7 linked regions of the Macaca fascicularis genome follow. The protein of the gene in region 2 interacts with the protein of the main gene of each other region in a pairwise test. Links are inferred from orthologs where the notes say so. Each region holds a gene or a part of one and is shown on either strand. Other genes may lie near its edges.

Region 1 (3,711 bases), on a different chromosome or scaffold from region 2:
AAAGACCAATTAATGTGCAAACTCTAAAAAATTTACTATTTGGCACTTCATAGGAAAAGTATGTGGGCGCTTCCTTAGACTCCTAATGTTTACCTTTTTATCTCTCCAATTAAACCACACTCCCCCAAAGGGGTGGTATTTTATATATGCCCTTCAGTATTGGTCCTTCAAGAACTTATCTGAAGAAACCTTGCAAGCAAGTAATGATTTTTAAAAGCCCAACTGTTGGACGCGGTGGCTCACACCTGTAATCCCAGCACTTTGGGAGGCCGAGGCAGGCGGATCACCTGAGGTCAGGAGTTCAAGACCAGCCTGGCCAACATGGTGAAACCCCCATCTCTACCAAAAATTAGCTGAGTGTGGCAGCGGGTGCCCACAATCCCAGCTACTTGGGAGGCTGAGGCAGGAGAATCACTTGAACCCAGGTGGTGGAAGTTTCAGTGAGCTGAGATTATGCCACTGCACTCCAGTCTGGGTGACACAAACTCCATCCACCCCCCCCACCAAAAAAAAAAAAAAAAAGAAATCCTAGAAGTATTGGTAGGGTGTGCTGGACTATGTCACAGGGTGCACCGTGCAGTATGAACAAAGAAAGCAAAAAAGAACTTGGGAGAAAAACACTGGGTAAAGGAAATACAAAAATACTTACCAGTGCAAACAAGATTGCGGCATAAGCCATTTCGGAAATCATGAAATACACGATTTCGATGTTCCTAGGAGAAAGCAATTTATTCCATTTGATTAGCACTCATATACAGCCCCAAATTTCCCATGATTATTTCTCCTAGTCGATCGGTTCTACCCAAAACCTGTTTATAAGTGATCCATGACATTAAGCTGCTTTCAAAACCAAATATGAGTTAAGTTATTGATCTCTTCATCTACAGAAACTGTTTACTTACGAAATTTCATAATGTAGTTAACAAAAAGTCATTTTGTTAAGTTTTAAATTATTTTTTGCTAAATCAAATTCTGAAATTTAGACATTGCATCTTTCTCTAAAGGCAAACAGTAAAGAAAAAAGAAAAATCAGCTAGCTGAGGGGCCATATTTAAAAATCCAGAGCAATGCTGTCCAGTAGAAATTTCTGTAATAAAGGAAATGTTTGTGTCTGTACTTCCACTTCCAATACAGTATCCAGCAGCAACAGGTGCCTAACTGAGCACTTGAAACGTGGCTGTGATTGAGAAACTGACTTTTTATTTTAATTTTTTTTTTTTTTTTTTTGAGACAGAGTCTCGCTCTGTCGCCCAGGCTGGAGTGCAGTGGCGCTATCTCGGCTCACTGCAAGCTCCGCCTCCCGGGTTTACGCCATTCTCCTGCCTCAGCCTCCCGAGTAGCTGGGACTACAGGCGCCCACCACCTCGCCCGGCTAATTTTTTTGTATTTTTAGTAGAGACGGGGTTTCATTGTGTTAGCCAGGATGGTCTCGATCTTCTGACCTCGTGATCCGCCCGTCTCGGCCTCCCAAAGTGCTGGGATTACAGGCTTGAGCCACCACGCCCGGCCTTATTTTAATTTTAACTGATTTAAATGGCCACATGTGGCTAGTGGTTACTGGATTAAACAGAGAATTAAACATGGGAATGAAAGGAAGAATACAATTTTACATTTGTATTATGCCTGACAGCTTACAAATTTAAACATTTACCTTAATTTTCCTAACTACCTTGTAAGTTATGAATATGTACTATTATCTCTATTTTATTGCTAGAAAATGAACCTTAGGTAGGTCAAAATGAAAGGTCCTTTGGCTACTAAGGAACAGTTTATTCTTAAACTCAGGACATTTAAAAGAACATTAAAACAAAATAAAATCAGAGATTTCTTGTTAAATTTGTGCAAGTTCTAGTTTTATACTCACCTGCCTCATTTTAGCATGAATATAGAAGCAAGAATAACCCAGTTGAGAAATCTTCTTGGCTAGTAATTCAACTCGCTGAGAGGAGTTACAGAAAATGATCGACTGGTTTATCTGAAGCTGAGCACAGAAAAAATAAGTATGAGAAAAATTAAAACCTTCATTTGGCTTGCCAAATCTTGAAAACACTAACCAGCAAACAAGAAACATTAACATGGTCTAAAATTTAGAATCTTATGATATGAGAGAGATGGTAAATTCTAAGTACTTTAATAGATGGAATATAATAATATCTAAGATTTATTGTATTAGAGTATATTTCTTAAGGGCCACATAACTGTCAACAAGAGTAATACAATTGATTATCTGATTCCAAGTAGTTATGTTTTGTTTTTCCATTTAAGAATACGTGTGTGTGTGTGTGTGTGTGTGTGTGTGTGTGTGTGTGTGAGAGAGAGAGAGAGAGAGAGAGAGAGAGAGAGAGAGAGAGAGAGAGAGAAATGGAGTTTCACTCTTGTTGCCCAGGCTGGAGTGCAATGGTACAATCTTAGCTCACTGCAACCTCCACCTCCTGGGTTCAAGGGATTCTCCAGCCTCAGCCTCCTGAGGAGCTGGGATTACAGGCACCCACCACCATGCCTGGCTAATTTTTGTATTTTCAGTAGAGACGGGGTTTCAGCATGTTGGTCAGGCTGGTCTCGAACTCCTGACCTCAGGTGTCTGCCCACCTCAGCTTTCCAAAGTGCTGGGATTACAGGTGTGAGCCACCGTGCCCAGCCAAGAACATCTTTAATATACTCACAACCAATGCCACTAGCACTGGGCAGCACTTCAGCACCATGAGTAGGGGTCAATTAAAACCGTGAAATCAGCAACAAAAATTTGAAAAATATGGCACAGTGAAAAGGATACTTGTTCACAGTATGAGAGCTAAACAAGAGGACAGAGCATTGTCTTCTTCAACCTCAGCTGGGTATGTGCGTGTCAGGTGACTTAAACTCTTTGCCACACTGTACACGTCCACAAATGACTGCTAAACTGCCTTGAGTATTAATTCTGGAGTTACAAATAAATTCTAGTGACTAAGCAAACTCACAAATACAGAATATGTGAATAATGAGTATTAACCCTAGTAAAGGTCTAAGTATTTCAGAAACTATTCAAAAGTGTATCTGTGACTTGTTAATCATTTAGTATCAACTTTAGGTCAACAATTAAAACTGCCTTTTAGGAAACACTATGAATTTTTTAAAAACTTTTTTTTTCCTTCCCGAGATGGAGTCTTGCTCTGTCGCCCAGAGCTGGAGTGCAATGGCGTGATCTTGGCTCACTGCAACTTCTGCCTCCTGGGTTCAAGCAATTCTCCTGCCTCAGCCTCCCAAGTAGCTGGGATTATGGGCACGCACCACCACGCCCAGCTAGTTTTTTTGTTTTTTTGTAGTAGAGACGGGGTTTCTCCATGTTGGCCAGGCTGGTCTCGAACTCCTGACCTCGTGATCCGCCTGCCTCAGCCTCCCAAAATGCTGGGATTACAGGCATGAGCTACCACGCCAAGCCAGAAACACTATGAACTTTTATACAGTGAAGATGGTAGGAAAACTGATGAAATAATCTGTTTTACTGGGACTCGAGAGATAATATTCAACAGCAGAAGCCTACTTCTTACCCTGGAGAAAAGTGTGTTGAGGCAGTGTACTTTTTGGCGCTCAGTTACATATGCGTAGTACTGGGTTACTCCCTTCAGAGTTAGTTCCTCCATCAGGTTAATCTCATAGGGTTTCTGCAAATGGGAATTCTGGGAGGGGAGAAAAAAAAAGATGGTTCTTCTTAAATGAAAGCAGAGTTCATCT
Region 2 (4,356 bases):
TATCCCTTCTGCCACGTGAAGACACAGCAGTCCTCCCATCCAGAGGATGCAGCAACGCGGTGCCATCTTGGAAGCAAAGAGCAGCCCTCACTAGGCACCAAACTGCCTGGACTTCCCAGCCTCCAGAAGTGTGAGAAATAAATTTCTGTTCTGTGTAATTACCCAGTCCCAAAGTATTTTTATAGCTGCACAAATGGCATGAGACAGAAAAGATTTAGAATAAAAACACTTAAGAGAATCAAAACTATAGTTGGGGAAAGCCTCATTGAGAAGATGGTATTTGGGTAAAGTCCAAAGGAAGTAAGAGTCATGTGGGTGTCTGGGGAAACAGTATTTCAGGCAAAGGGAAAAGCAAGCGCAAAGGCCCTGAGGTGAGCAGCGGGGAAGCAATGGGATATGAAGTCAGAAAGGGAAAGCAAATCATGAGAGAAGTAGGACATAGTGAGACCAGATGCTGTAAGGCTGCATAGACTATTATGGAGCTTTTGGCTTTTAAACTGCGTAAGATGGGGAACCACTGACCAATTTTGAGCACAAAAGTAACAAAAGCTTCATTCAAGGGAATCAAACACATCAAATCCTTTAAATATGATTAACATATCATTGTGTCACTGAGTTAAATCTATTAGACATAGTTGTATCTAAAAATTATATTTAAATGATACAGGATGAATCAATATTACTCTATCTTACAAAGTTTTTCATGGCCTCAAATCATTATCAACAGCAAAGCTGGTGATTTCAGGGCTTGGAGATAAGGGTTAGTGGCTTGGCCTCCTTCCTGGAGTCCCTACTCATTATGCCTCCTGCTGACATTTTTGAGCACAATCCACCCAGACACCCATTTGGTCAAGGGCCCTAAGCCAGATTCTCACTTCCCAGTTGCCACTTGTGTGGCCAGAGAGGTTCCCAGGAATAAAGACATCTGATCCCTGCTTATCAGTGAGGGGCTCTTGCTCCAGTCCACAAATGCATCCATACCTGAGGCATGGAGGAGATTAAGACTGGAGCAGAAGCTTGCTGGGGATTTTGGAGGCTTTCCTGAAAAAGATCAGTTAAGGTTTTCAGTGCAGGGAAGCGCTGTGTAAGATTGGCCCTTCTAAAGACTCCTCTGGAGGTACCTTAGGAGGGAAGGCAGGACGGGAACAGGAGGTCCTGGGTGGCTATGTCACCCTGGCCTAGAGGTGAAACGCCATGCTTCACACGTGTTCCCTCATTTGCAAAGTGGAATTACCGTCAGCCTAAGTGGTTGTTTTATGTGAAATTAAGTGAAATAATTCATATAGGTGAAAGCAATCCATTTAAAGTTGTGCAAATATAAAGGTTTATCAAGCATAGTGATACTGACGTGTGGTTAGAAGCCCACCAGGTGTGTGTGTAAATCTACCGCTTCCAAACGCGTCTCAGAATGATGTGGAGTAGGGCCATTGGAACAATCAGCGATAAATAAGCGCATCTGAAGGGGAAGGGAACAAGCCGCTGACTAACTCACAAAAGAGGCGGTCAGCATGGGTAGAGATGAGCATGTACGGTTCCGTCCAGAAGCAAATAGTTGGAGCTCAACATTGGTTAGGCGCGGTGAGTTAGCCCTCGGTTTTCTAAGCCCCGATGTCGCATCTTGACATAAAACCAAGGATGGAGGCTGTACCGAGAAATTCGGGCTACTGCCCTGGGAGCCAGGCTCACCGGCAGCGCCCCTGGCCGCGCCCGCAGAGGCTCCGGCTCCGGCCCCGGCCCTGCCCTCCTCGCGCGCCCCCCCGGCGGCCGCCCGTTTTTGCGCCGCGCAGCCCGAGCCCCTCCGGAGTCCGCGGCGCTCGACGGCTCCAGACACGCCCGGCGCCGTCCCCGCCGCCTTCCCGCCGCCGCCGCCAGGAGGCTCCGCGCGCCTTCCCGCCTTTCCCCGGGCCGGGCCGGGCGGCTAGGCGGGCGCGGGCGGCGACGGCGCGGCCATTGTCCCGCAGCCCCTCCCGGGCGCGCAGGAGGGGCCGGCCTGGCGGGCTGGGCGGCGCGGCCGGGCGCGGGGAGGGGCGGCCGGGAGCCGGTGCCCACCAACGCCCGCCGCCGCCCCGGGCTCGGCCCGCCGCCGCCGCCCGCGCGTCCTCCGTGGCCGCCCACAGCCCCTCGGAGCCGGCGCCGCCGCCGCCGCCGCCGCTGCGCCCCGGGCTGCAAATGGCGCCCGCTCGCCTCGGCGCCTCCCGCCGCGCTCCCGGCCCGGGGACGTCTTGGGGAGGCGCGCCCAGGGCCCGCATCTCAGCACCGCCGCCGCCCGGGCCGTGAGAGCCCGCGGCGCCTCCGCCCGCGGCCAGGCTCGCGGCGGGTCCCGGGCAGCCCCGACGCCCGCCCGCCCTCCGCCGGCGCCGCGCGCCGCCACTTACCGCGGGCCGCGGCGCACCGGCCGGTCGCGCGCGCGGGCCGGGGGAAGATTCTTGGTTCTCGGCTGGGGAAGGACCCCCTTTCGAGGCCGTTCCTTTGCGCCCTAAAACAAGTAGCCCCAACGTGAGAGAAACAAAAGGTATTTGCTGACGTGGGCGTTGGACAGAAACGCCCGAGGGCTGGGGACACAATTAAAGGGGCAACGCACAGATTTCAGGCACCAACCAGCAGCTTCGCCCACTCCCCCTGCCCTTGCCCACACCCGCTGCACGCTCCAGAGGCACCGGGGTGCCCAGATTCTCTAGCAGTTGACTGCGGATCATGATTTTAGTCAGGAGCTGAAATTTAAAATTGTACTTTACGTTGGGAAAGGCGCCTCCGGAGGGCAGAAGGGCTGGATTTCTAGGATCTGGGGAATTTGGTTTAGGAAAGAGGGAGGGACTTAGGCGTGCCCACAATTACTGTATAAGTACATGTGACATTATTGTACTTAAGTTTAGCAACGTCAAATGCAAAAGATTTCCACAGAATTTTCCCTTGTATTGAAGCAGTTATTTTAGTTGAGGATAACCTTTTCTAAACCTCTACAGGTCAGAAGCATTTCATTTGAAGAGGAAAACCCAGAGAAGCTAAGAGAACATAATTCCTAGTTTAAGTCCAGAGAAATACAAAATTAGTAAAAACAGCAAGTTCCGTCTTTTCCAATACAAGCATTCATTGTATACCAAGCTTCCTCTGACAAATTTACATCTCTAATATTTAGAGTACAGATATCAGATTATACATTTGCTAAAATAGTAAATCAGTGGATTTTCACTGTTACTATAGAAGCATTACTTCTATAAATTAGTTTCCTAGTTCCTTATGCTGGGGTCAGGTACTGAAAAGTACTGTGTTATAGTAAAACTGGAGGAAAAAGGTTCAAATTATCAAAACTTGGGTTTAGCTTTTAATGGATTCCTCTCCTGTTCATAATCAGTCATATTGGACAGTCTGTAACTTTGATTTCAGGAATAATTATGCATTTTGAGGATGCAAGATCTTCACAATTGTCTCTTAATGTCACTTCTGTGTCACTGCAGAGGTGCTTTGCTATTTAGTTGTGTTTCCTTGCCTTCTGAACAGGTAAGTAGAAACATATTTGAAAACCATTAGGTATCAGGTATATTGGATGTACTCAGATTACTCTGCTAGCGCCCCCCATTGAGAATTCCCCCAGAAAGACCTGGACATGGTTATAGCCAAAGGTTTGATTTTAGCCTTAATTAAAGATTAATGCAAAAGAGTTCCACAAACTTATTCCTCAAGAGAGCACATCAGGTTGGTGATAAACTCTTCGTTGTGGCCGGGCGCGGTGGCTCTCGCCTGTAATCTCAGCACTTTGGTAGGCCAAGGCAGGCGGATCACGAGGTCAGGAGTTCGAGACCAGCCTGGCCAACATGGTGCAACCCTGTTTCTACTAAATATAAAAAGTAGCTGGGCATAGTGGTGCGTGCCTGTAATCCGAGCTACTGGGGCAGCTGAACCAGGAGAATGGCTTGAATCCAGGAGGTGGAGGTTGCAGTGAGCCGAGATCGTGCCACCGCACTCCAGCATGGGTGACAGAGCAAGACTCCATCTCAAACAAACAAACAAACAAACAAAAAACTTTGTTGCAAGGAAGAGGTAATGACAGTTTTGTCCCTCATCTTCATTCTGCTAGCTTTGGGAGCTTGTTTCTCTATGTTGGGGCTCCATCATTAACCAGTGCTAGTCTCTTAAACTCTGACTGCTTGGCCGGGCGCGGTGGCTCACGCCTGTAATCCCAGCACTTTGGAAGGCCGAGGCGGGCGGATCACAAGGTCAGGAGATCGAGACCATGGTGAAACCCCGTCTCTACTAAAAATAGAAAAAAATTAGCCGGGCGCAGTGGCGGGCGCCAGTAGTCCCAGCTACTCGGGAGGCTGAGGCCGGAGAATGGCGTGAACCCGGGAGGCGGAGCTT
Region 3 (4,154 bases), about 26 Mb from region 2:
GTGGTGTTTTTGGCTTGTCAAGAGCACACCTCTTGGGTGCTGCTGGCAGCTAACACACTGCTGCTGCTGTTGCTGCTTGGGACTGCTGGCCTGTTTGCCTGGCACCTAGACACCCCTGTGGTGAGGTCAGCAGGGGGCCGCCTGTGCTTTCTTATGCTGGGCTCCCTGGCAGCAGGTAGCGGCAGCCTCTATGGCTTCTTTGGGGAGCCCACGAGGCCTGCATGCTTGCTGCGCCAGGCCCTCTTTGCCCTTGGTTTCACCATCTTCCTGTCCTGCCTGACAGTTCGCTCCTTCCAACTAATCATCATCTTCAAGTTTTCCGCCAAGGCACCTACCTTCTACCGCGTCTGGGTCCAAAACCATGGTGCTGGCCTGTTTGTGATGATCAGCTCAGCGGCTCAGCTGCTTATCTGTCTAACTTGGCTGGTGGTGTGGACTCCACTGCCCACTAGGGAATACCAGCGCTTCCCCCATCTGGTGATGCTTGAGTGCACAGAGGCCAACTCCCTGGGCTTCATACTGGCCTTTCTCTACAATGGCCTTCTCTCCATCAGTGCCTTTGCCTGCAGCTACCTGGGCAAGGACTTGCCAGAGAACTACAACGAGGCCAAATGTGTCACCTTCAGCCTGCTCTTCAACTTCATGTCCTGGATCGCCTTCTTCACCACGGCTAGTGTCTACGACGGCAAGTATCTGCCCGCGGTCAACATGCTGGCTGGGCTGAGCAGCCTGAGCAGCGGCTTCGGCGGGTATTTTCTGCCCAAGTGCTACGTGATCCTCTGCCGCCCAGACCTCAACAGCACAGAGCACTTCCAGGCCTCCATTCAGGACTACACGAGGCACCGCGGCTCCACCTGACCAGTGGGGTCAGCAGGCATAGCTGGTAGCTTTCTCTGTCCTGAGGGTCGAAGGTCAAGCAGGCCAGGGCTGTTTGGGAGGCCTTTGGGCACCTCAGTCTGGGGTTGGGACGTGTAAGCGCCCGGGAGAGCCCAGACCAGGCTCCGGGCTGCCAATAAAGAAGTGAAATGCGTATCTGGTCTCCTGTCGGGGAAGAGGGTGAGGTGCCGCGGATTCAAGTCTGAACCCAGAACCTGGAAAAGGCTTGGTGCCCAGCTTGACGTTGCTAGGCAACCCCGGAGGCGGGCCCAGCGCCAAAAGAACAGGGCGTGGCCTCATCCCCTCATCCCATTGGCCGTTCTCTGCGGGGCCCCGCCCTCGGGTGCCGGAGCTAGAAGATCTACGCTTCCGAGGCGCCCCTCCTGGCCGGCACGCTCTGACGTCACGTCCGGCGCGGAGACGGCTGCGTCTCCGCACGGTCGGCGGGGCACGCATAGCCGGGCAGTTGGTTCGTGGGCTGTGGAGGCGACGGAGCCGGGGGCTGGTGGGGCCAGCTCAGGGAGGACCTGCCTGGGTGAGGAGGGCACGAGGTGAGGGAGGGAGGGGCTGCGGGCCGCCGTGGCTGCCTTCCGCTCGGCCGCTCGGGACCTGTGGGCGCGGCGTGGGCTCCGCTTACCTGTCCGCGGCCGCCGTCCTCCCCAGTCCAGGATCCTCTCACTGTGCCAGGCCAGTCAGTTCGCGCTCATCCCGTGCCTTCTTTCCCCAAACTTGGATTTTTCCCACCAGGCCCTTCTTCATGACCCTGACCCCCCCATCAGCATCCCCCCTGGCCAACCCAATATGGCCCCCGGTCCCCGGGAGGCTGTCAAGTATGTTCCTGCCTTCCGCGTGCACCCCTCACCTTGACCCAAGCCCTCGTGCTGATAAATGTGATTATTTGAGTGGAGGCCAACTTCCCCTTTCTCTCTCTTCGACTCCAGGGGCTTTCTCTTGCATACGCTCGCTTGGGCTGGCCAGGGTGTCACTTCTGCCTCCCTGCCCTCCAGACCATGGACGGCTCCTTCGTCCAGCACAGTGTGAGGGTTCTGCAGGAGCTCAACAAGCAGCGGGAGAAGGGCCAGTACTGCGACGCCACTCTGGACGTTGGGGGCCTGGTGTTTAAGGCGCACTGGAGTGTCCTTGCCTGCTGCAGCCACTTCTTCCAGAGCCTCTACGGGGATGGCTCAGGAGGTAGTGTCGTCCTCCCTGCTGGCTTCGCTGAGATCTTTGGCCTCTTGTTGGACTTTTTCTACACTGGTCACCTCGCTCTCACCTCAGGGAACCGGGATCAGGTGCTCCTGGCAGCCAGGGAGTTGCGAGTGCCAGAGGCCGTAGAGCTGTGCCAGAGCTTCAAGCCCAAAACTTCAGTGGGACAGGCAGCAGGTGGCCAGAGTGGGCTGGGGCCCCCTGCCTCCCAGAATGTGAACAGCCTCCTCAAGGAGCCGGCAGGCTTGCAAGAAGAGGAAGTTTCGAGGACTCTGGGTCTAGTCCCCAGAGATCAGGAGCCCAGAGGCAGTCATAGTCCTCAGAGGCCCCAGCTCCATTCCCCAGCTCAGAGAGAGAGTCCCTCCTCCCTCTGTGGGAAACTCAAGCAGGCCTTGAAGCCTTGTTCCCCCGAGGACAAGGAACCTGAGGACTGCAAAATGCCTCCAAGGCCCTTCGAGGCTGAAGGTGGCCAGCTGCAGGGCGGGAGTAATGAGGTACTGTGCCCAGGGTGCTGGGACTGGGGAGACAAATGGAGGGAATAGACACTTTTTTTGGTATAATAGGGACCCTGGGCTGGGTGTGATGGCTCATTCACGTGAGTGGTTCAAGTGGAGGACGACAGGGATGGACGAAGTCTATTTGTAATCCTAGCACTTTGGGAGGCCAGGGTGGGTGTGGATCACTTGAGCTTGGGAGTTCGAGACCAGCCTGGGCAACATGGCGAGGCCTCATCTGTACAAAGAAAATACAAAAATTAGCCGAGTGTGGTGGCACACACCTGTAATCCTAGCTACTTGGGAGGGTGAGGTGGGAGGATCACTTGAGCCCAGGAAGTGGAGGTTGCAATGAGCTGAGATGGTGCCACTACGCTGTAGCCTAGGCGACAGAGCAAGACCCTGTCTCAAAAAAAAAAAAAGTGGACCTTAAGACAATCTCTGTTAATGTGGGTTTGGAACGGGCTTTCTCCAAACAAAGGAAGCTGGTGATCTCAGGCTGACCTTTCTGCAAGCCCCAGCTATTCATGGTTGCCACCTTCCTGAGAGGAGAGTGGGCAGCATCAGGGTTACAGGTGTTTCCCCAGGATAGTGTTTCCATCCGAGCTTCCAGTTCCCCACAAATACAGTCACTTTCCTCTGAATCCAAGACTCAGATGCTCTGCCTTGGGCCCCTGAAGGAACAGTGTCTGATGAAGGGACTTGTCAGGGTTGGGGCTTGGGATGGAACTGGAGCTGGGTCCCTACAACTCCTGCTGATTCATTTGGTGACCCCACCCCCTCCTGCTGCCTATTGTGCTCTAGTGGGAAGTGGTGGTTCAAGTGGAGGACGACGGGGATGGTGATTACATGTCTGAGCCTGAGGCTGTGCTGACCAGGAGGAAGTCAAATGTAATCCGAAAGGCCTGTGCAGCTGAGCCAGCCCTGAGTGCGGGCTCCCTAGCAGCTGAGCCTGCTGAGAACAGAAAAGGTACAGCGGTGCCGGTCGAATGCCCCACATGTCATAAAAAGTTCCTCAGCAAATATTATCTAAAAGTCCACAACAGGTAAACTTTCTGTTTTTCTATTTTCCTGTCTGCCATTCCCGCGTTGGGGGAGGGGTCTTGCACGTCCCACTTCTGGGTGAGGTAGGGGCTGGGGGATCCATCTCAGACCCACATAGTGCCTGGCCTTGGCACACCTCTGGCAATCAGGAAGTGAGAGTCTGCTTTGGGTTAGATTCTTCTTCCTCACTGTCCTGTGAGTACTGTGGTTGGAGATGGGTTTGTGGACATCTTGTCAACAGGTTCCACCCACTGTGGACCTTGACCTTCAGCTGGCCTCTGCGGACAGAATGAGAAACCTGTGGCCCGTGTGCTAGAGCTGAGGCCCAACCTTAGGTGTTTCTGAAGCCCGGCAGTGTGGGCTTGAAGCCTGGCAGTGTGGGCTTTGGGCCACAATGCTGAGCCTTGGGTCAGTGCTACCTGTGTTTCCAGGGAAGTGTTCACTCTGGGGTGTCAGTGGAGTATTAAAGTCCAGTTGTCTAAACCTTCAGTGTCCAGTAAAGTAACCAGGAACTCCAGGGGCTATTAAAATTTT
Region 4 (3,711 bases), on a different chromosome or scaffold from region 2:
GGTTCAAACAAATTTTTTTTTTTTTTTTTTGAGACAGTGTCTCCCTGTTGCCCAGGCTGGAGTGCAGTGGTGTGATCTCAGCTCATTGCAACCTCCACCTCCTGGGTTCAAGCAGTTCTCCCACCTCAGCTTCCCAAGTAGCTGTGCCTACAGGCATGCGCCACCACGCCCAGCTAATTTTTGCATTTTTAGTAAAGATGGCGTTTTACCACGTTGGCCAGGCTGGTCTCGAACTGCTGACCTCAAGGTGATCCACCCACCTTGGCCTCCCAAAGTGCTGGGATTACAGTGAGAGCCACCGTGCCCAGCCAAGTTTGTCATTTTGAAAACATATCCTTGTTAGATTATAAAAGTAACTTATACATTATAGGAATTGTGAAAAATAAGACGGGCACAGAGACAGCACCCTCAGTCACAACTCCCCCATCCACCTCCGGTCTCAGTGAGATGAGCTACACACACGTGAAGCAGCAGAACCACACATGCCTCCCGCCTGTCCACGCGGGCAGCGCCCCAGAGTCGGCGTGCCTTCATGCCTTCCACCTCCCGCCTTCCCTTTTAAGAGACACTCGTTTGGGCCAGGTGTGGTGCTCACACCTATAATCTCCGGACTTTGGGAGGCCAAGGTAGGTGGATCACTTGAGGTCAGGAGTTAAGAGATTGGCTTGGCCAACATGGTGAAACCCTGTCTCTGCCAAAAATTACAAAAATTAGCAGGTGTGGTTGCAGGTGCCTATAATCCCAGCTACTCGGGAGGCTGAGGCAGAAGAGTCACTTGAACCCGGGAGGCGGAAGTTGTGGTGAGCCAAGATGGTGCCACTGCACTCCAGCCTGGGCAACAGAGCAAGACTTCATCTCAGAAAAAATTAAAAACTAAAGTGACCAATTTGCAAAGGGACACCAAGATTGCTTGGCTCTCGGTTTTGACAAACTGCCTAGATCCTGGGGAAGTCAGGAATTCCTCCCATCACAGGGAAGGGCAGATTCACACTGATGCCCTACTCTAGCCTTCATCCACCTACATGACTGTGAGTACCCGAGGCCCCATCAGCCACCTGCACGCGATCCCCAACTCCTGGGGTGGGGATGGGTATCAGGAAGATGGGAAAGCAGGTCACGTGCCCCTGGCTGTCACCACGCGGGTGACGCTGACGACGGCAGTACCTGTGTGGATGAGCTTCACGTGCCGCTGCAGGTAGCGGTCGATCATGAAAACCTTGTTGCAGCCAGGGTGGGGGCAGGGCCGCTCCCGGACCTCCTCGTGGTGCTCCTTGATGTGCTTCTGCAGGAGAAACTCAGTGAGAGACCCGCAGAGCCTCACCCGGGCCGAGCGGCACGGACCCTCGGCGGGTGGCAGCTGACGCCCCTGGAAGGAAGGCAGATCCAGCTCCTCCAGCTCCACCACTGGTTCCTCCACAGCTTCACTCCAAGACACTTCTAGACCCCCAGGGGGTGTCTCAAGTGAAAGTCTGGCCCCACATCTACCCCAGGTCCCCAGTCACCTTGGGCACAAGTCTGCGTCAGGCTCTGCGGAAACACCTGGTGCCGGCCCCAGGCTCACAGGGACAGCTGCGGGGCCTGGTCCGGCACAGCCCGTGCTCACCTTCATGCCGTCAGCACCTCGGTACACGGCTGTGCAGCCCTGGTAAGGACACTTGTAGATGGTGGGAAGCTCCTCCCTGCAACAAAGAGCACGCATGGAGCCCGGCCCCGACAGGCAGGGCGAGCCTCGAGCTCCAGGCCTCACCTCTCACAACGAAGCTTCTTCTTCCATCCCGGCTTGGGTCCTGGCTTCTTCCGAATTCTTGGTTCTTCAGACTTCTTGGCTTCCTTGCTTTCACTCTTCTTACCAGAGACCCTGAAAAAAAGAGGTTCCCAGATTCAGTGGTTTCTGATCTCCATCTGAAAAAGATTTCTTGTCTTTAACAGGAGACATGTTTTTGAAGCTTCCCTGAGTTGCTTCTGTGCTGACTGACCCTCAAAATCTACCTGAAGCCACCACAGCCAGAGCAACTCTGGACAGGAGGCCTCAGGTGAACACAACAGAGGGCGAGGGCGCAGGGCACAGCAGGGTCAGAGGCAAACACAGCAGAGGGCAAGGCGCAGGCACAGCAGGGGTGAGTTCTGAGAACTGAAGCTTCATCCTGTGCTACACATGAAACCCAACACTGGAGATATCAGGAAAGATGGCAGAACAAAGGGGCTACCCCTTCATCAAAATGACCTTAAACGCTAGGAAAACGCTCAGAATCCACTCGCTGAAACCAGGACAGCTTGATTCCAAGCTCAAGCCCCAGCCCGGGCTTTGGAGGAACAGGTGCTGTTTCCCCCGGAAGCACAAGGTGAGCAGCTGCCACTCCCGCATTCCTCAGCCCTGCCCCCGCTGCAGGGAGCCCAGCCTGTGTTCCTGGAGCTGCTGACTGGGACCATGGTGGGCAGGAGACCTTGTCCTCCAGAACTTTGGGGTTGCGCATTTTAGTTGGTCTGGCAAGTCCCTGAGGGACCAGCAAATGCAGCAGCGTCCAGTGTATGTCTATTGTGGTTCCTTTTTGGATCCAGTAAGGATAGGGAAGGAAATCCCTCAGGAGAAGAAGGGAACTTCACCACGATAAAGCTTCGACGTGAAACCCACAGCACATGCCACACTCGATCGTGAAAGACTGAAAGCTCTTCCTCCAGGATGAGGAAAAGACACGGGTTCTCTCACCACTGTTCTCAGCACAGCACTGGAGGCCCTGGCCAGAGTAACTGGGCAAGGAAAACAAAAATTCTCCCTGTTCACAAATGACATGACCTTGTATGTAGAAAACCCTAAAGCTCCACATACACAAAAACCCGAATAAATGATTTCAGCAAAGCTGCAGAGTGTAAAATCCATACACAAAACCCATTTATGTTTCTTTGTATTATCAATGAACAATCCAAAAAGGAAATTAAAAGAAAAATCCATATGCAAAAGCATGAAAAAAGTAATTTAAGCTGCCGAGTCCAGTGGCTCACACTGGCAATCCCAGCACTCTGGGAGGCTGAGGTGAGAGGCTCGCTTGAGCGCACAAGGCTGCCATCAGCCATGATCGTACCAATGCACCCCAGCCTGGGCAAGAGCATGAGACCCTGTCGCTAACTGCCCTTCTCTTTAAAGAGTGCACTGAGGCTGGGCGCAGGGGCTCACGCCTGTAATCCCATCGCTAACTGCCCTTCTCTTTAACGAGTGCACTGAGGCTGGGCGCAGGGGCTCACGTCTGTAATCCCATCGCTAACTGCCCTTCTCTTTAGAGTGCACTGAGGCTGGGCGCGGGGCTCACGTCTGTAATCCCATCGCTAACTGCCCTTCTCTTTAACGAGTGCACTGAGGCTGGGCGCGGGGCTCACGCCTGTGATCCCATCGCTAACTGCCCTTCTCTTTAACGAGTGCACTGAGGCTGGGCGCAGGGGCTCACGTCTGTAATCCCATCGCTAACTGCCCTTCTCTTTAGAGTGCACTGAGGCTGGGCGCGGGGCTCACGCCTGTAATCCCATCGCTAACTGCCCTTCTCTTTAACGAGTGCACTGAGGCTGGGCGCAGGGGCTCACGTCTGTAATCCCATCGCTAACTGCCCTTCTCTTTAACGAGTGCACTGAGGCTGGGCGCGGGGCTCACGCCTGTGATCCCATCGCTAACTGCCCTTCTCTTTAACGAGTGCACTGAGGCTGGGCGCAGGGGCTCACGTC
Region 5 (3,629 bases), on a different chromosome or scaffold from region 2:
ATAGATTATACCCAAGGCTCTCCTCTTGGGGACCCAAACCCGTCCCCAGGCTCCCCCTCAGGGCTTGCCAAATGGAATGAAAGGCATGGAAAGGGGCTGGGAGAAAAGCCAGCTCCACTGAACAAGGGAAAGGAGCCTGGCAGTGAACAGACCTGGGAGGGGTGGGGGTGGGATGAGCTTTGCTCCTCAGTTGAGTGCTGGAAAGGGGACGGGGGAAGAAATAATTTATTGGGCGATGTAATGGTGCGTGGTTTCAATCATGGCGACCATTCCAGATCTCTCTCAAGTGAAGCTAAATTCTGGCCGGTCTATGGAGGTAGAAATTGAGGATGGAAGGAAAGTTTAGAATCCCTCCTCCCCCAGAGAATAGACATTTATTACCCAGCTCTACCCTCTGGCCCAGCCTGCCTCCCCAAATGGCTTCCAAATCCCTCAGCTAAAATTTGCATCAGAAGATGGAATTGGAATGGGGATGTTGTCTTGCCCAAACCCTCCAGCCTCAGAACTGACAGAGGCTGAAGAGCAGGGGTGGGGAAAAGGAACTTAAGGAATGAAATTACAATTTCCCCTCATCCCCTACTCAAATTCCGGTCCCAGGGCTGGGCTAGGCAGACTGGGAGAGAAGACCAGGCAGCTGTTCTCATTATCAGGGACCCATGCAGACCTGCTGGACAGACATAGGAGGTGAGAGAAGGCCGGGCTGGAGGCCAGGAGGGTTCTTTAGGCTCCTAGAGGGAGAAGCAGGGGCCTGGGGTCAAGGGGGAGTGGGAAGCAACACAGTGACAAACAGTGGGAAGAGCCTTTGAGCCCCTCAAACTTACGGGCCACCCTCCACCACCCGCCCCCCAAGTGCTGACCAGAGGGGCCCCCGCGGGTGGCAGGATAATCAAGGGCAGAGCTTGATGCGGGTGCCCTTGGAGAGCACCCGGAAGAAAGGAAAGACACGCTCGCCCAGGAAGGCAGCCGAGAAGGTGTGCACGTGGGCCAGAGTGTCTGCGTTGTAGAAGCCCAGGCGCCCCGCTTCATAGTCCAGGTACACGCCAAAGCGCCGTGGCTTCTCACTGGGGCTCAGCAGCGTCTGTTCTGTCGAGCTCTGGGCCTGGTAGCGTTTGCCGTTGGTGCCCACGCACCACACCTCCCGCTGGAGCAGAGGCTGCTGGGGCAGGTGGAGCCGGCGGCGGCGATGGTGGTGGCGTGAGGAGCTGGCATCCCCGCTGCCCACGGAGGAACCCCCAGGGCCCACCTTTTCCTTATGATGGGTGGATTCACGGGCAGCGCCCACCGCCCAGCCCCGCCGCCCACCCACCTCTACCTCCCAGTAGTGCCGGCCAGAGCGGAAGCCCTGGGCCCCCAGTACGCAGCAGTCGGCCGAGAAGCGCTTGGGATGGTCAGCAACCTCCTGCCGCCGCTCTGCCAGGCGGACCCCCCGGCGGTCAGGGGACAGCATCAGGGCCGGGTGAGCCGTGTCAGGGTCCAGCGTCAGGTCCACTTGGGAGGAGGGAGGACAAATACGCCAGGGCTGGAACGGCTGTTCCCCTGTCAGCAGCCAACTCCACAGACTGGGCCTTTCCTGCCCGCTTCCTCCCTGAATTCAGCTCCCCACACCATCCCAGAGGCCAGCCTCAGCTTCCTACAGGCTCCCTCTCTCTCCTCTTGTTCCTCAGACACCTGACAGGTCTTCCCCCAGCCTGGCTCTTCTTGCCACTCTACCCCACCCCCACCCTCCAGGCCTGCCTGGACTAGGACTACCTGTTAATGGCTTGAAACCTCAACCTGAGTGGCTGCCTGTATCCTGCTCCATCTCAACCCCTACACTTTCCCTGGGACCCAACTTCCCTCAGGACCCAGTCTCAGGTCTGTGAAGGGAAAGGCAAAGGAAGGTCGTGGAGGTGACCTCCCTACCTCTCGCAGCCTGACAGAACATCCGGCTCATTTTCCTCACGATGGCATCTGTCAGGAAGTCATGGCTATGGGGTTGGCACGGGTCAGGGGACCAGACCTCTGGGGGCTGCAGCTGTACCTCTTCACACCTGGAGGAAGGGGACCGGGCAGGGGGTGGGACCATGATATTCCCAGAGGGAAGAGCAAAAGCTGAGGGGAAGGAGAGGAGGGTCCAGGAGATGGAAACTCAGGTCCTGGGGAAGAAGGAGAGGAGAGGGATACCCAAGAGAAGCAGGGACGGGAACCAGATGCCACTGGGTCACAAAGGGCAAAGAGCGGGAACACACCTATTGAAAGTCTCCTTGATGTCCTGGGAATAAGAGAAACAAAAAGAGGGAGAGGGAGAAAGAGATAAAGAGCGTCAGCTGCACAGGCACAGCTTTCCCGATCTCCAGTCAGAGACTGAGCCTAAGCAGGAAGGGAGAGGCAGCACGCTCACGGCCTCAGTGAACACACATCCACTTCAACCACCCCATGCCTCGCCATGCCTAACTCGCCTCTCCTGCTGTGAGCCCACCAATCCTGTCATTTCCACAATATGACCTGCTCACCTTTTTCAGGATGTCACTGTCAAAAAGCCTTTCCTCAACTGTCATTTAAACCTCTCCTACAACCGAATCTTCATGCTTTTCACTGGTATAATCGTCACACATACCACATTCGACATTAACTGTTTCCAGCTTTAAAACATGTTTTTGGTCTTCAGGTTCAATCACTGTGGGTTCCTCCCAGTGAGAAGAGGCAGCTCTGGACAGGTGTTTGGTAAGCACTGCCTGACAGCCAACACGGAGTGCTGGGGGAACAGGGAGGGGACATTGCTCACCTGAAGCAGCCGGAGACCCCCCTGCTGGCTCCGCTCCTGGGCCTCGGCCAGCAGGCGGCTGAGCTGGGCAGCCTGCTCTGCAAGGCGACTGGCCGCAGCTCCCGCACGCCCCAGCTGGGCTTCATGCATCTCTCGGAGACGCCGTTCCAGCCCTGCCTGCTCTTCAGCCAGAAACCGTGTCAGCCGCCCAAACTCGGAGGCCACCGCTGCCAGCTCTGACTTCATCTGGCTCTGGAATGGTGCAAAGGGGATGACAGATACCACCTCAACACACAGGAAGATAACCTCCAGTTTTGCAACTACCACTTCTCAACGCAAGGCAAAGGAGCCCTATACTCCCCAAGTCCAAGAAAGTCCTGGAAAGAGGCTCATCTCCTACCGGCCTTACTTCTCAGCCTTACCAGATACCACCCCTTGCACCCAGCACAGTGGCCCCAAACTCACTAACCTCTGCCTGGAACACTCCTCTCCACCTGGTCTACATACCTTGACTCATCCTTCAGGTCCAACCTTAAATATTCCAAAAGAAGCCTTCCCTCCTCTCCAGATCTAAATCAGGACCATCCCCACAAATTCCCTGTATCTCTTTGTGGCACATACGACACTGAAATGTTGTGTTTAAATGACATATCTTTTAACATCTTTCCCCCACTGTACCATAAGCTCCGGTTGGCAGGGACTAGGAATGTCTTTGTTTGCCACAGTGTCCTCGGACCTTGACATAGCGCCAACCAGAAGAGGCACTTGGTAAAAATTTTTTGAAATGAATAAATAAAAGAATACAAGAATCAAGACATAAAGTTAGGGTCCCGAAACCATTAAACACAGTGACCTTAAGAAAGTCACCCAAAAGCCCTAGATCAGA
Region 6 (4,488 bases), on a different chromosome or scaffold from region 2:
TTAGTATTCAAAGAAACAGAACCTGGGGTCCACTGTAGTCCAGACCTGATTTTTGTTTGTTTGTTTTTTTGAGATGTAGTTTCGCTCTCCTTGCCCAGGCTGGAGTGCAACCTCAGCCTCCCGGGTTCAAGTGATTCTCCTGCCTCAGCCTCCCGAATAGCTGGGATTACAGGCATGCACCATCATGCCCAGCTGCTTTTGTATTTTTAGTAGAGACAGGGTTTCTCCATGTTGGTCAGGCTGCTCTCAAACTCCCGACCTCAGGTAACCCGCCTGCCTCAGCCTCCCAAAGTGCTGGGATTACAGGCGTGAGCCACCACCCCTGGCCAGATCTGATGTTAATGCCTTTACTTGCAGCTCTGCCTTGCTTGGGGCCTCTCAAAACACTGCTTCATTGAAATGTTATCAGAACTCCACACCTCCCAGAAAGCCCCGGGTTAATTCCATCTATTCTTTTGTTTGGTGAGATGCTCTAAGGTTCCTTGAGCTTGAGCTCTTCTTCAAGGCAGTGGATTAATAAACCTGAATCTGTTGAACTCTGAATTGGTTTCTGGAGGTATTAGGATGATTGGGTGAGCACAGGGAGCCCTGGAGGTTTTCATAGTTCAATCCTTCGTTTTACAAACAGAAATTGGGGACCGGGGGAGGAGGTGTTACTGCAGTTCTTCCGCAGCACCTCAGAGCCACTTCCTCAGATCCACTTCCCCGTGGAATTTTTTGGTACTCATCTTCTAAAACTAGAAGGCAAAATCAGCTATGGAGTGGTTTTCCTTGGATATGTAATGCACAAATTTACCTAGGCCTTTTATAAAGACCATCTTTATGCTCCAGGTCAGTCATTCCTCCAGTATTGGGATTGATGAGTTCCGTATGTTCATTGCCGGCGAAGTGGCGGGAATTCGCTGAACTGCGTGGGGGCGGCGAGGGTGCGGGCTGGATACAAGGCACTGGGCAGATGAAGTGACAGAGATGCTGTGTGAGGGGGGCTGAGGGCGCTTCCCCCTCCTCACCCTGCTGTTCCACATTTCTTCAGCAACCTTCTTCATTCCTCAGGAAAATTTTCCTTTTTCTTTCTTATTCCTGTCTCCCTACATCCCACTCTCAGGAAAGAGTTACCCTTCATTGAAATCTTACTTTTTCTGGCAATGCGCTCTAAAAAGGTAGACCAGGAATGATTCCCGCCGCCAGAAAAAAATGAAAGCAACACTTCCTTTTAGGAATATAGTACTTTATGTTTTTAATTTTAAAGCTGGTCAAGTGACACAGCGGGAGTGGAGAAGAAACAAATCTCTGGCTGTCATCAACTAGTTGCAAACACCACCGCACCCGGACCAGCCTAGTGATTTATTTAAACAAACCACATTAAGTAGTTAAAGCAAACCCTTTCTCCCCCAAAGAAAAGAAAGCTAAGTACGTCTGCCTTAGCTCTGGGGGATTCTTCGGCGGCTGGGGATGGCGACTGGGAGCTGCCGCCCTGCGTCCCCAGGCACTTCTGCGAGACGGTCAGTGCTGTAAAATTTGAATCTGCGACTCCTGGCCAGGAGTGGTGGCGGAACCGGCGGCGCGGCAGCAGCGACCGGCTGCGAGCTCGGGCACGGATTGGTCGCCGTGCCTCCCGGCCCACCGCGCCGGCGCACTCCTCCACCCGCGCCGCCCAGTCGCCCAACGGCGGCCTCAAGAGTGATAGGGCAGCAGCCGGCCAGCCGGCCAGCGGACAGCGGAGCGGAGCGGGCGGACGGGTAGGCCCGATCTGCTCTTTGCGAGGAGGAAGAAGGTGGCCACTCTCCCGGCCCCCAGAACCTCCCCAGCCTCCGCAGCACGCCCAGGCCGTCGAGGGCGTCGCTGAGGAGCCGCCGACGCTCTCCCCGGTGCCGCCGCCGCCATGGCTGCCATGATGGATCGGAAGTGAGCCTTAGGGTAACGGCTGCCGGCGCCGGCTCTTCGAGTCCCGGCTCCCCGGCCGCCTCCGCCCGGGGAAGCGCTGCGCTGCGCAGCTGACTGCTGCCTCTCACGGCCCTAGCGACCCCAGGCCCTTAGCCCCGTCGCGCTCCCCGCAAGACTAAGCAGCCGGGAGTGGCTCCCGGCCGCCGGCCCCGGCTGCGAGAAAGATGGCGGACCTGGCCGAGTGCAACATCAAAGTGATGTGTCGCTTCAGACCTCTCAACGAGTCTGAGGTGAACCGCGGCGACAAGTACGTCGCCAAGTTTCAGGGAGAAGACACGGTCGTGATCGCGGTGAGTGACCCCCTCCGGCACCCCTCCTTCCGCTTCTTCGGGCCGGGCTGTGCAGAGAGTTTAGGGAAGTGGCAGGGTGCAGAATTGAAAGGGAGCAGCGGTGTCCCCAGCAATCCCCGGCGGGGTTTGCCGGTTCAGATAACCCAGTGGAGGAAGACTGCGCAGCTTCGCGTGCGTTCCGGGATCGCCCCCACCCCGGTCTTTGGCGCCGGGAGACGGGAGGCGCCCAGCCTCAGCCCTGGACACTCCCCCACCTGCGGCAACGGAGGAACGTCCGGGGAGCAATTTCAGTGCACGTTTGTCTGCGTTTCTGTGTGTGCAATTACGGATATTGGTGTTTTGGATTAACCCCAAATTTGCCATTCAGAAAATATGTAATGCTTATATAAAGTTCAGCTGGGGACATTGAGCTGTGAGACAAGCCGTATTATGCTTTAGTAAAGATACTTAGTTTTATAGAAACATAACCAGTCCTTGAACCGTGTTGTTTCCCCCTGGGAGAAGGAAAAAGCACCAAACAGCTACAAATATTATGTACACCTCAAACTTTCACCCACCACTTTTTGAGTGGTGAATGACTTTTCATGTTAACAATTACAAATGGTAAATGGATGATTGTAGAAAGAAATAGTTGAGCTTTTTTTTTTTTTTTTAATAAATCGGAATGATCAATTTTGTTTAATCTAGCAGACCTAGCCGACTTTGGTTGAGTCAGATAAGTGCTCCGAAAGACAAATCGCACTCTTGCTAGGTTTTATGGGATAACAGCCTAGGAAAAAGTATCAGCTTTTTGTTTTTATATCAAAGTATTATAAAAACAAGCTTATAAAAAAGATAAAAATTGACCAGTATTAGATTCATACTTCTGCAATTAAGGTCTATCTTGAAGAAAATTGATCTTTGGTAATCCCAAGAATAGTGAGATACTGTTTTTTTGTAATGTAAAACATAACTAGAGTTGAGTGATCATTTGAGACCAAAATGTGAGGGTGTTTTAAGGTCTGATCTCTGGCATTGAAAGGTCTGAGAAAATAGCACTCCTAGTTGAAGGAGATTAAAAATTAATTGTAAAGTATGGCATACGAAACAGTGAACTGTGACTAAATTATGTTCATCTTTCTTGGCAATGCTATGTAGTAGAACTAACTTTCTACATTGTTACCGTAGTATGAAATTTTAATATGTTAATTTTTCCTCTAATGTCATTCTGTAGTTAATAATTGTATGGGGCTATTTAATTTGGAAATAGGGCAGAGGTCACAGGAGATGGGACAAGGATGATTGAAAGCATTGACACTGAAGACAGACTAAAGTTCTTTAGGGTTTTGATGTGAAAGTTTCTCCAAAGTTCAGCTCCGAAAAATGAATGTCTTAGCTCCTTGGTAGGCCTTTGGCAAACAAGTCATTAGGCCACTAACAACTGCCAACTATTACTGTGTAAAGATTGTCAGGCCAGTTCTTTGTTAACAAGTGCACAAGAAAACCTCTTGTGTAAATGACATCATAGGTTGGCAGAGGCGGAGTAGGAGTAGTTAAGCGCAGTAATCCTTTTCCTTTAGGATGGTATATTTTACATATAGTCTGGAGGCTTGCAAGGCCTAGATTAGTTGTCACACTTGAGGCCATTAGTTTCTTAAGAGTTTTTGTAATTTACAGTACTCAGCTTCAGCAGTGGTTGGCACATAACAAACCTATTTTTCCTTTTACACTTGTCTTAAGAATGTCTTATTTCTTCAGATTTTGTGTTTACACAGATCTGTAGTTATCACTATGATTCTTTTTGTTGGAATGCTAAAATTTAGGATTCATAAAATGTATTAAGATTAGAAGGTAACCTTTGATGAGGCCCAGATATGACATAAACTATGAAGAAAGAACTAAAGGAAAATGAATAAAGGAAACATACATTTATTCTAGGTTTCCATTGGGAAAAAGTTGCTTATAAGTTCTGTTTCAAAATTTCAGTACTCTATATAAACGGTAATATTAGGAATAAATGTATAGGTTGTTGGTTTGTGAATCCATAATGAACAGTTAACCTTTAGGTAAACTGATAAGCATTTTAGTTGTTTTTTGGTTGGTTGATTTTTTTTTTGAGATTTTTTTGAGTTGAGTTTTGCTCTTGTTGCCCAGGCTGGAGTGCAGTGGGGTGATGTCAGCACACTGCAACCTCCGCCTCCCAAGTTCAAGCGACTCTACTGCTTCAGCTGCCTGATTAGCTGGGATTACAGGCACGTGCCACCACGCCCAGCTA
Region 7 (4,241 bases), on a different chromosome or scaffold from region 2:
TCTTATCAAATTGCAAGTTGATTCAAAAATTGAAAAAGTAAGGAATCATTTGTGTAAAACGGCCAAGATTAGACAACTGGTTGTCTCTTTGTGGACTAATTCATAGATCATGTAAAAAATCCATTTTTTTTTTTTCTTTTTTTTTTTTTTTTTTTTTTTTTTTTTTTTTTTTTTTGAGACGGAGTCTCGCTCTGTCGCCCAGGCTGGAGTGCAGTGGCCGGGTCTCAGCTCACTGCAAGCTCCGCCTCCCGGGTTCACGCCATTCTCCTGCCTCAGCCTCCGGAGTAGCTGGGACTACAGGCGCCCGCCACCTCGCCCGGCTAGTTTTTTGTATTTTTAGTAGAGACGGGGTTTCACCATGTTAGCCAGGATGGTCTCGATCTCCTGACCTTGTGATCCGCCCATCTCGGCCTCCCAAAGTGCTGGGATTACAGGCTTGAGCCACCGCGCCCGGCCATTTTTTTTTTTTTCTTAAGAGATAGAGGCTTGCTCTCTGTCACCCAGGCTGGAGTGCAGTGGTGAGATCATAGCTCACTGCAGCCTTAAACTCCTGGGCTCCAGCAATCCACCCACCTCAGCCCGCTTTTCAATTTTAAAAATGAGTTATTTTGTTTTAAAAGCTACTATTTGGCTGTAACCAGTAGAAATATTTTCCTTCTGTTACAAATAAAATAACGAAATTAATGAGGCCTTTTGGGTTTTCTCTCCCGTTTAAACTCTCCACTCAAAGGAAGATAGCATCATTTTATTTCCTCAATATAAAAGTAATGCATTACTGATTTAAAAACAAATGAGCAGAAAAGTTTAAATAAGACACTCCCACGATCTGTCTCCTTTTCCAACACCTTGCTCCACATTTTACAGTGGTGCAGAAGAAATATTGGACATTCATGACTGGTGGTGGGGGGAGGTATAGAGAGAGACAGTTGGACTGAGACGAGAGAAGATAAAAAATTATTCCTCGAAGAGGAAGAAAAGGCCAACGGACACGGGAGCAGATACAGCCTCTCCCTGTAAGCCAAAGAAAGGCAAATTCCAACCACAAACGGAAGCTACTTCTGGTCTCCGGGATTGGCAAAGAGGAAAATGAGTGGCAGGACCTGATGTGTCAGGGAAGGAAGGGGAGGGCCGGCTTCTGCGGCACTGCTGATGGGAGTGGTAATTGGGGTCCTGATCTCACGGTTGACGTGGCCCTCACGTGAGCTGGAGCCGACGCGTGCAGACGTCCTTCTAATCTTAGTCTTCGTTTGGTCCGGTTGCACTCTCCCTATTGCCCAGAGGGCGAGAGGGCCTGTGGCCTGGGGGAAGGAGGACGAGGTTACTGCCTGGATCCCAGCAGGTTTGTGTGTGGATGGGCGTTGCCAGGGGATCCCTGCGGCGCGGGCAGTGAAGGGTGGAGGCCGAAGGGGGAGCAGTTCGCTTTCTCCAAACCCTTGCAGTATTCCTGTCCCTTTCTAGAACAAAAATGGTGGACCTTGGGGCCGGATTCCAGGGGCGACCCCAGACTCGGGCGTGGTGGGACCTTTAACATCCAGGGCCTTGAATCAGGGAGGGCAGATATTCGGATTCGTATCCTGTGTGCTGGTCCATCTACCAAGCCAGAATCTTGGGGCTGTGCGTCTGTCTGACAGTCATTCCCCTTTTCTTTCAGTAGGGCGCTGTGCCATTTGGGAACAAAGGAATAGTCTGCCTGGAATCCCTGCAGGTCAGTGTAAAGCTGGGGCTGTCCCGCGGCCCCCGGAAGGACTGGGATGACTGAGGTCCTTGCCTTAACTTGGGCCCTTTACCGACTCTCAAGCAATCTTCCTGCCATTTTTTTTCCTTTAGGAAAAAAGGATGTAACAGTGCCTGCAGGAAAAGTGCTTGTCATTGCGGGTAGGGTGCATTGGGGAGAGGGATAGAAGAGATCGGTTGGTTTTGTTTTCCTCCTCGTGTTTTCCATATTCCCCCCTCGCCCCGCCCCGCCCCGCTTCCAGTGGTTTGAAAGGGGTGTGGTTTTTGCTGGGAAAATGGCCGACCGCTGGGGCTGCGGGAGGGAGGGCCGGAGGCGGGGACCGGGGGTGGGGGAACACTACGTAGCGGGAGGGCTGGTGTCAGCCGAGTCCAGAGAAGTGAGGGTAGGGTGACAGACAAAAAGGTAAACTCCGTTGACAGCCAGGACCCTGAATTAGGAAAAGCGGATGTTGGGACTCTCCGAAGTGCTTTTCTGTCCGCTGAGCCATCAGTTTCTGCCTTGTTGCTTGTGTCTGCAGATCTTGGGGCCAGAGGCCAGTCCAACCCTTGGAGCAGGAAGAAACGCAAAGTTGTCAAGAACCAAGTAGGTCATAATAAGGGTGATGGCATTATTTGGGGGTGGAGCATGGTGGCGACTGCAACTCGAGTGGGCCCGTGGACCCCCTCCACATCTCCCTTCTTCCCTTCTTCCCTACACAATTTCGGATCTTGCAAAATAAATTGCTCTGCAGGTACAAGACAGGGAAGCAAATAGCTGAGAAGGGGTGGGCGTCAAGAGAGTCCAGGGGTTGGGAGGACGTTACTCCAAATTACTGTTTGAGGTACAGTGTCCTTGGTGTTGGTCCGTCGACCAAGCACTCACTTCTGAAGTTTGTTAGTCTTGAAGGTTTAGTGGAAGCAGAAACTGAGGTAAGGGAGGTAAGAAATTGCTCCCGAGCAGAGGTAGTTGGTATAACGACACGGCGGGGGTGGGAGGTGAGTGGGGGTGTCCTGGTACCTTTGAGATGGAGGAGTTGGCGGAGGCAAGGACAGAGTTGGAGACCTTTACGCATTTCACGCCAGTCCGGCTTTTAGATATTCTCACTTCATTTTGTTACAAGGAAAATGTTAACAATGAAAATGTGTGGCGACATCTTCGGAGGATGCCAATGATAAGAGTAGGGGTGGAGGTGGAATGGAGGGTTAGAGGAATCATCGAAGGAGGAAGAGGGAGGGAGACAATGAATTCCAAAGCCGCACCTCGGTGAGGAGTGGAGGGCAACCGAAGGCGGGAAACATCGGGCAAGGCAGTTGTAAAGGGCTAGGAATTCAGAAGAGGGATGTATGTCCCGTCCTGGGTGATATCTGTATGTCCCCCTAGCTCTCGGCACCCCCTCCTCGCGTCCTTGTCTGCAGGTTTGCACGAAGCAGTGCCCTTGGAAGCAAGAAAGAGAAGGAAAAAACTGCCTGGACCTCTGTGGGTGCATGTGGGGGCGCCACTGTTCCCAGGACATCTGAAGGGCAGGATGGCAGGGAACTTTAACATTCTGGGGCGACGTGGTGGAACGTGAGGTTGGAGAGTCTTGAAGTGGGGAAAATTTCCAAACTTAGCTTCCGGATGGAAGAAAGGAATCAGTGATCTAGATATTAAGCCCCGAGTTTGCCAATATATCTGTATTTTTGTACGTTTGTTTGTCTTGCCGTTGTTTCAGTCTGTTTGCGTGGCAAAGACACAAAAGGAGGAGGAGCCTGAAATCTGAACTGCATCCTTTTTTCCTAGGTCAAGCTGCCTCAGAGCCGGCCAGCAGTAGCTGCAGACTCCGCCCGCGACGTGTTCGCGCTTCTCTGGGCCAGAGCGAGCCTGTTCTGTGCTCCGGTTAAGAGATTTGTCCCGGCTATACCATGGGCCGCACTCGGGAAGCTGGCTGCGTGGCCGCTGGTGTGGTTATCGGGGCTGGTGCCTGCTACTGTGTATACAGACTGGCCTGGGGAAGAGACGAGAACGAGAAAATCTGGGATGAAGACGAGGAGTCTACGGACACCTCAGAGACTGGGGTTGAGACTGTGAAAGGAGCTAAAACTAACGTTGGGGCAGGGTCTGGGGCCAAACTTCAGGGTGATTCAAAGGTCAAGCCTGAGGTGAGTTTGGGACTCGAGGATTGTCCAGGTGTAAAAGAGAAGGCCCATTCAGGATCCCACAGTGGAGGTGGCCTAGAGGCCAAGGCCAAGGCCCTTTTCAACACGCTGAAGGAACAGGCAAGTGCAAAGGCAGGCAAAGGGGCTAGGGTGGGTACCATCTCTGGGAACAGGACCCTTGCACCGAGTTTACCCTGCCCAGGAGGCAGGGGTGGAGGCTGCCACCCTACCAGGAGTGGATCTAGGGCTGGGAGCAGGGCAAGTGGAAAATCCAAGGGAAAGGCCCGAAGTAAGAGCACCAGGGCTCCAGCTACAACATGGCCTGTCCGCCGAGGCAAGTTCAACTTTCCTTATAAAATTGATGATATTCTGAGTGCTCCCGATCTTCAAAA

What was found.
Region 1: the proteins of ZBTB8A (region 2) and DDX6 interact in binary tests that used the Homo sapiens proteins (3 or more experiments, as listed by UniProt). The two-hybrid records come from large-scale screens. The link is inferred for Macaca fascicularis from reciprocal best matches to the Homo sapiens genes ZBTB8A and DDX6.
Region 3: the proteins of ZBTB8A (region 2) and ZBTB48 interact in binary tests that used the Homo sapiens proteins (3 or more experiments, as listed by UniProt). The two-hybrid records come from large-scale screens. The link is inferred for Macaca fascicularis from reciprocal best matches to the Homo sapiens genes ZBTB8A and ZBTB48.
Region 4: the proteins of ZBTB8A (region 2) and ZNF276 interact in binary tests that used the Homo sapiens proteins (3 or more experiments, as listed by UniProt). The two-hybrid records come from large-scale screens. The link is inferred for Macaca fascicularis from reciprocal best matches to the Homo sapiens genes ZBTB8A and ZNF276.
Region 5: the proteins of ZBTB8A (region 2) and TRIM41 interact in binary tests that used the Homo sapiens proteins (3 or more experiments, as listed by UniProt). The two-hybrid records come from large-scale screens. The link is inferred for Macaca fascicularis from reciprocal best matches to the Homo sapiens genes ZBTB8A and TRIM41.
Region 6: the proteins of ZBTB8A (region 2) and KIF5B interact in binary tests that used the Homo sapiens proteins (3 or more experiments, as listed by UniProt). The two-hybrid records come from large-scale screens. The link is inferred for Macaca fascicularis from reciprocal best matches to the Homo sapiens genes ZBTB8A and KIF5B.
Region 7: the proteins of ZBTB8A (region 2) and ARMCX1 interact in binary tests that used the Homo sapiens proteins (3 or more experiments, as listed by UniProt). The two-hybrid records come from large-scale screens. The link is inferred for Macaca fascicularis from reciprocal best matches to the Homo sapiens genes ZBTB8A and ARMCX1.

Annotation. Positions count from the first base shown.
Region 1 is NC_088388.1:117,619,335-117,623,045, forward strand, and holds part of DDX6 (probable ATP-dependent RNA helicase DDX6), read right to left. Parts: intron 3,657-3,711; coding exon 3,528-3,656; intron 1,982-3,527; coding exon 1,865-1,981; intron 714-1,864; coding exon 650-713; intron 1-649.
Region 2 is NC_088375.1:202,482,234-202,486,589, forward strand, and holds the start of ZBTB8A (zinc finger and BTB domain-containing protein 8A), read right to left. Parts: upstream 2,808-4,356; 5' UTR 2,736-2,807; intron 2,508-2,735; exon of another isoform or gene 2,477-2,507; 5' UTR 2,376-2,476; intron 1,848-2,375; exon of another isoform or gene 1,493-1,847; intron 1-1,492. UniProt on the Homo sapiens protein: May be involved in transcriptional regulation.
Region 3 is NC_088375.1:228,293,234-228,297,387, reverse strand, and holds the start of ZBTB48 (zinc finger and BTB domain-containing protein 48), read left to right. Parts: upstream 1-1,304; 5' UTR 1,305-1,411; exon of another isoform or gene 1,412-1,427; intron 1,428-1,817; 5' UTR 1,818-1,886; coding exon 1,887-2,576; intron 2,577-3,380; coding exon 3,381-3,622; intron 3,623-4,154. Other genes in the region: TAS1R1 (taste receptor type 1 member 1), read left to right, coding at 1-858. UniProt on the Homo sapiens protein: Plays a critical role in transcriptional regulation and chromatin remodeling. Acts as a regulator of telomere length. Directly binds the telomeric double-stranded 5'-TTAGGG-3' repeat.
Region 4 is NC_088394.1:85,668,118-85,671,828, reverse strand, and holds part of ZNF276 (zinc finger protein 276), read right to left. Parts: intron 1,859-3,711; coding exon 1,748-1,858; intron 1,680-1,747; coding exon 1,604-1,679; intron 1,283-1,603; coding exon 1,165-1,282; intron 1-1,164. UniProt on the Homo sapiens protein: May be involved in transcriptional regulation.
Region 5 is NC_088380.1:188,328,740-188,332,368, reverse strand, and holds the end of TRIM41 (E3 ubiquitin-protein ligase TRIM41), read right to left. Parts: intron 2,996-3,629; coding exon 2,765-2,995; intron 2,252-2,764; coding exon 2,229-2,251; intron 2,031-2,228; coding exon 1,903-2,030; intron 1,489-1,902; coding exon 887-1,488; 3' UTR 729-886; downstream 1-728.
Region 6 is NC_088383.1:32,780,878-32,785,365, reverse strand, and holds the start of KIF5B (kinesin-1 heavy chain), read left to right. Parts: upstream 1-1,656; 5' UTR 1,657-2,108; coding exon 2,109-2,234; intron 2,235-4,488. UniProt on the Homo sapiens protein: Microtubule-dependent motor required for normal distribution of mitochondria and lysosomes. Can induce formation of neurite-like membrane protrusions in non-neuronal cells in a ZFYVE27-dependent manner.
Region 7 is NC_088395.1:108,200,875-108,205,115, forward strand, and holds the start of ARMCX1 (armadillo repeat-containing X-linked protein 1), read left to right. Parts: upstream 1-1,339; intron 1,340-1,651; 5' UTR 1,652-1,654; coding exon of another isoform or gene 1,655-1,705; intron 1,706-1,827; coding exon of another isoform or gene 1,828-1,875; intron 1,876-2,252; coding exon of another isoform or gene 2,253-2,317; intron 2,318-3,493; coding exon of another isoform or gene 3,494-3,615; coding exon 3,616-4,241. UniProt on the Homo sapiens protein: Regulates mitochondrial transport during axon regeneration. Increases the proportion of motile mitochondria by recruiting stationary mitochondria into the motile pool. Enhances mitochondria movement and neurite growth in both adult axons and embryonic neurons.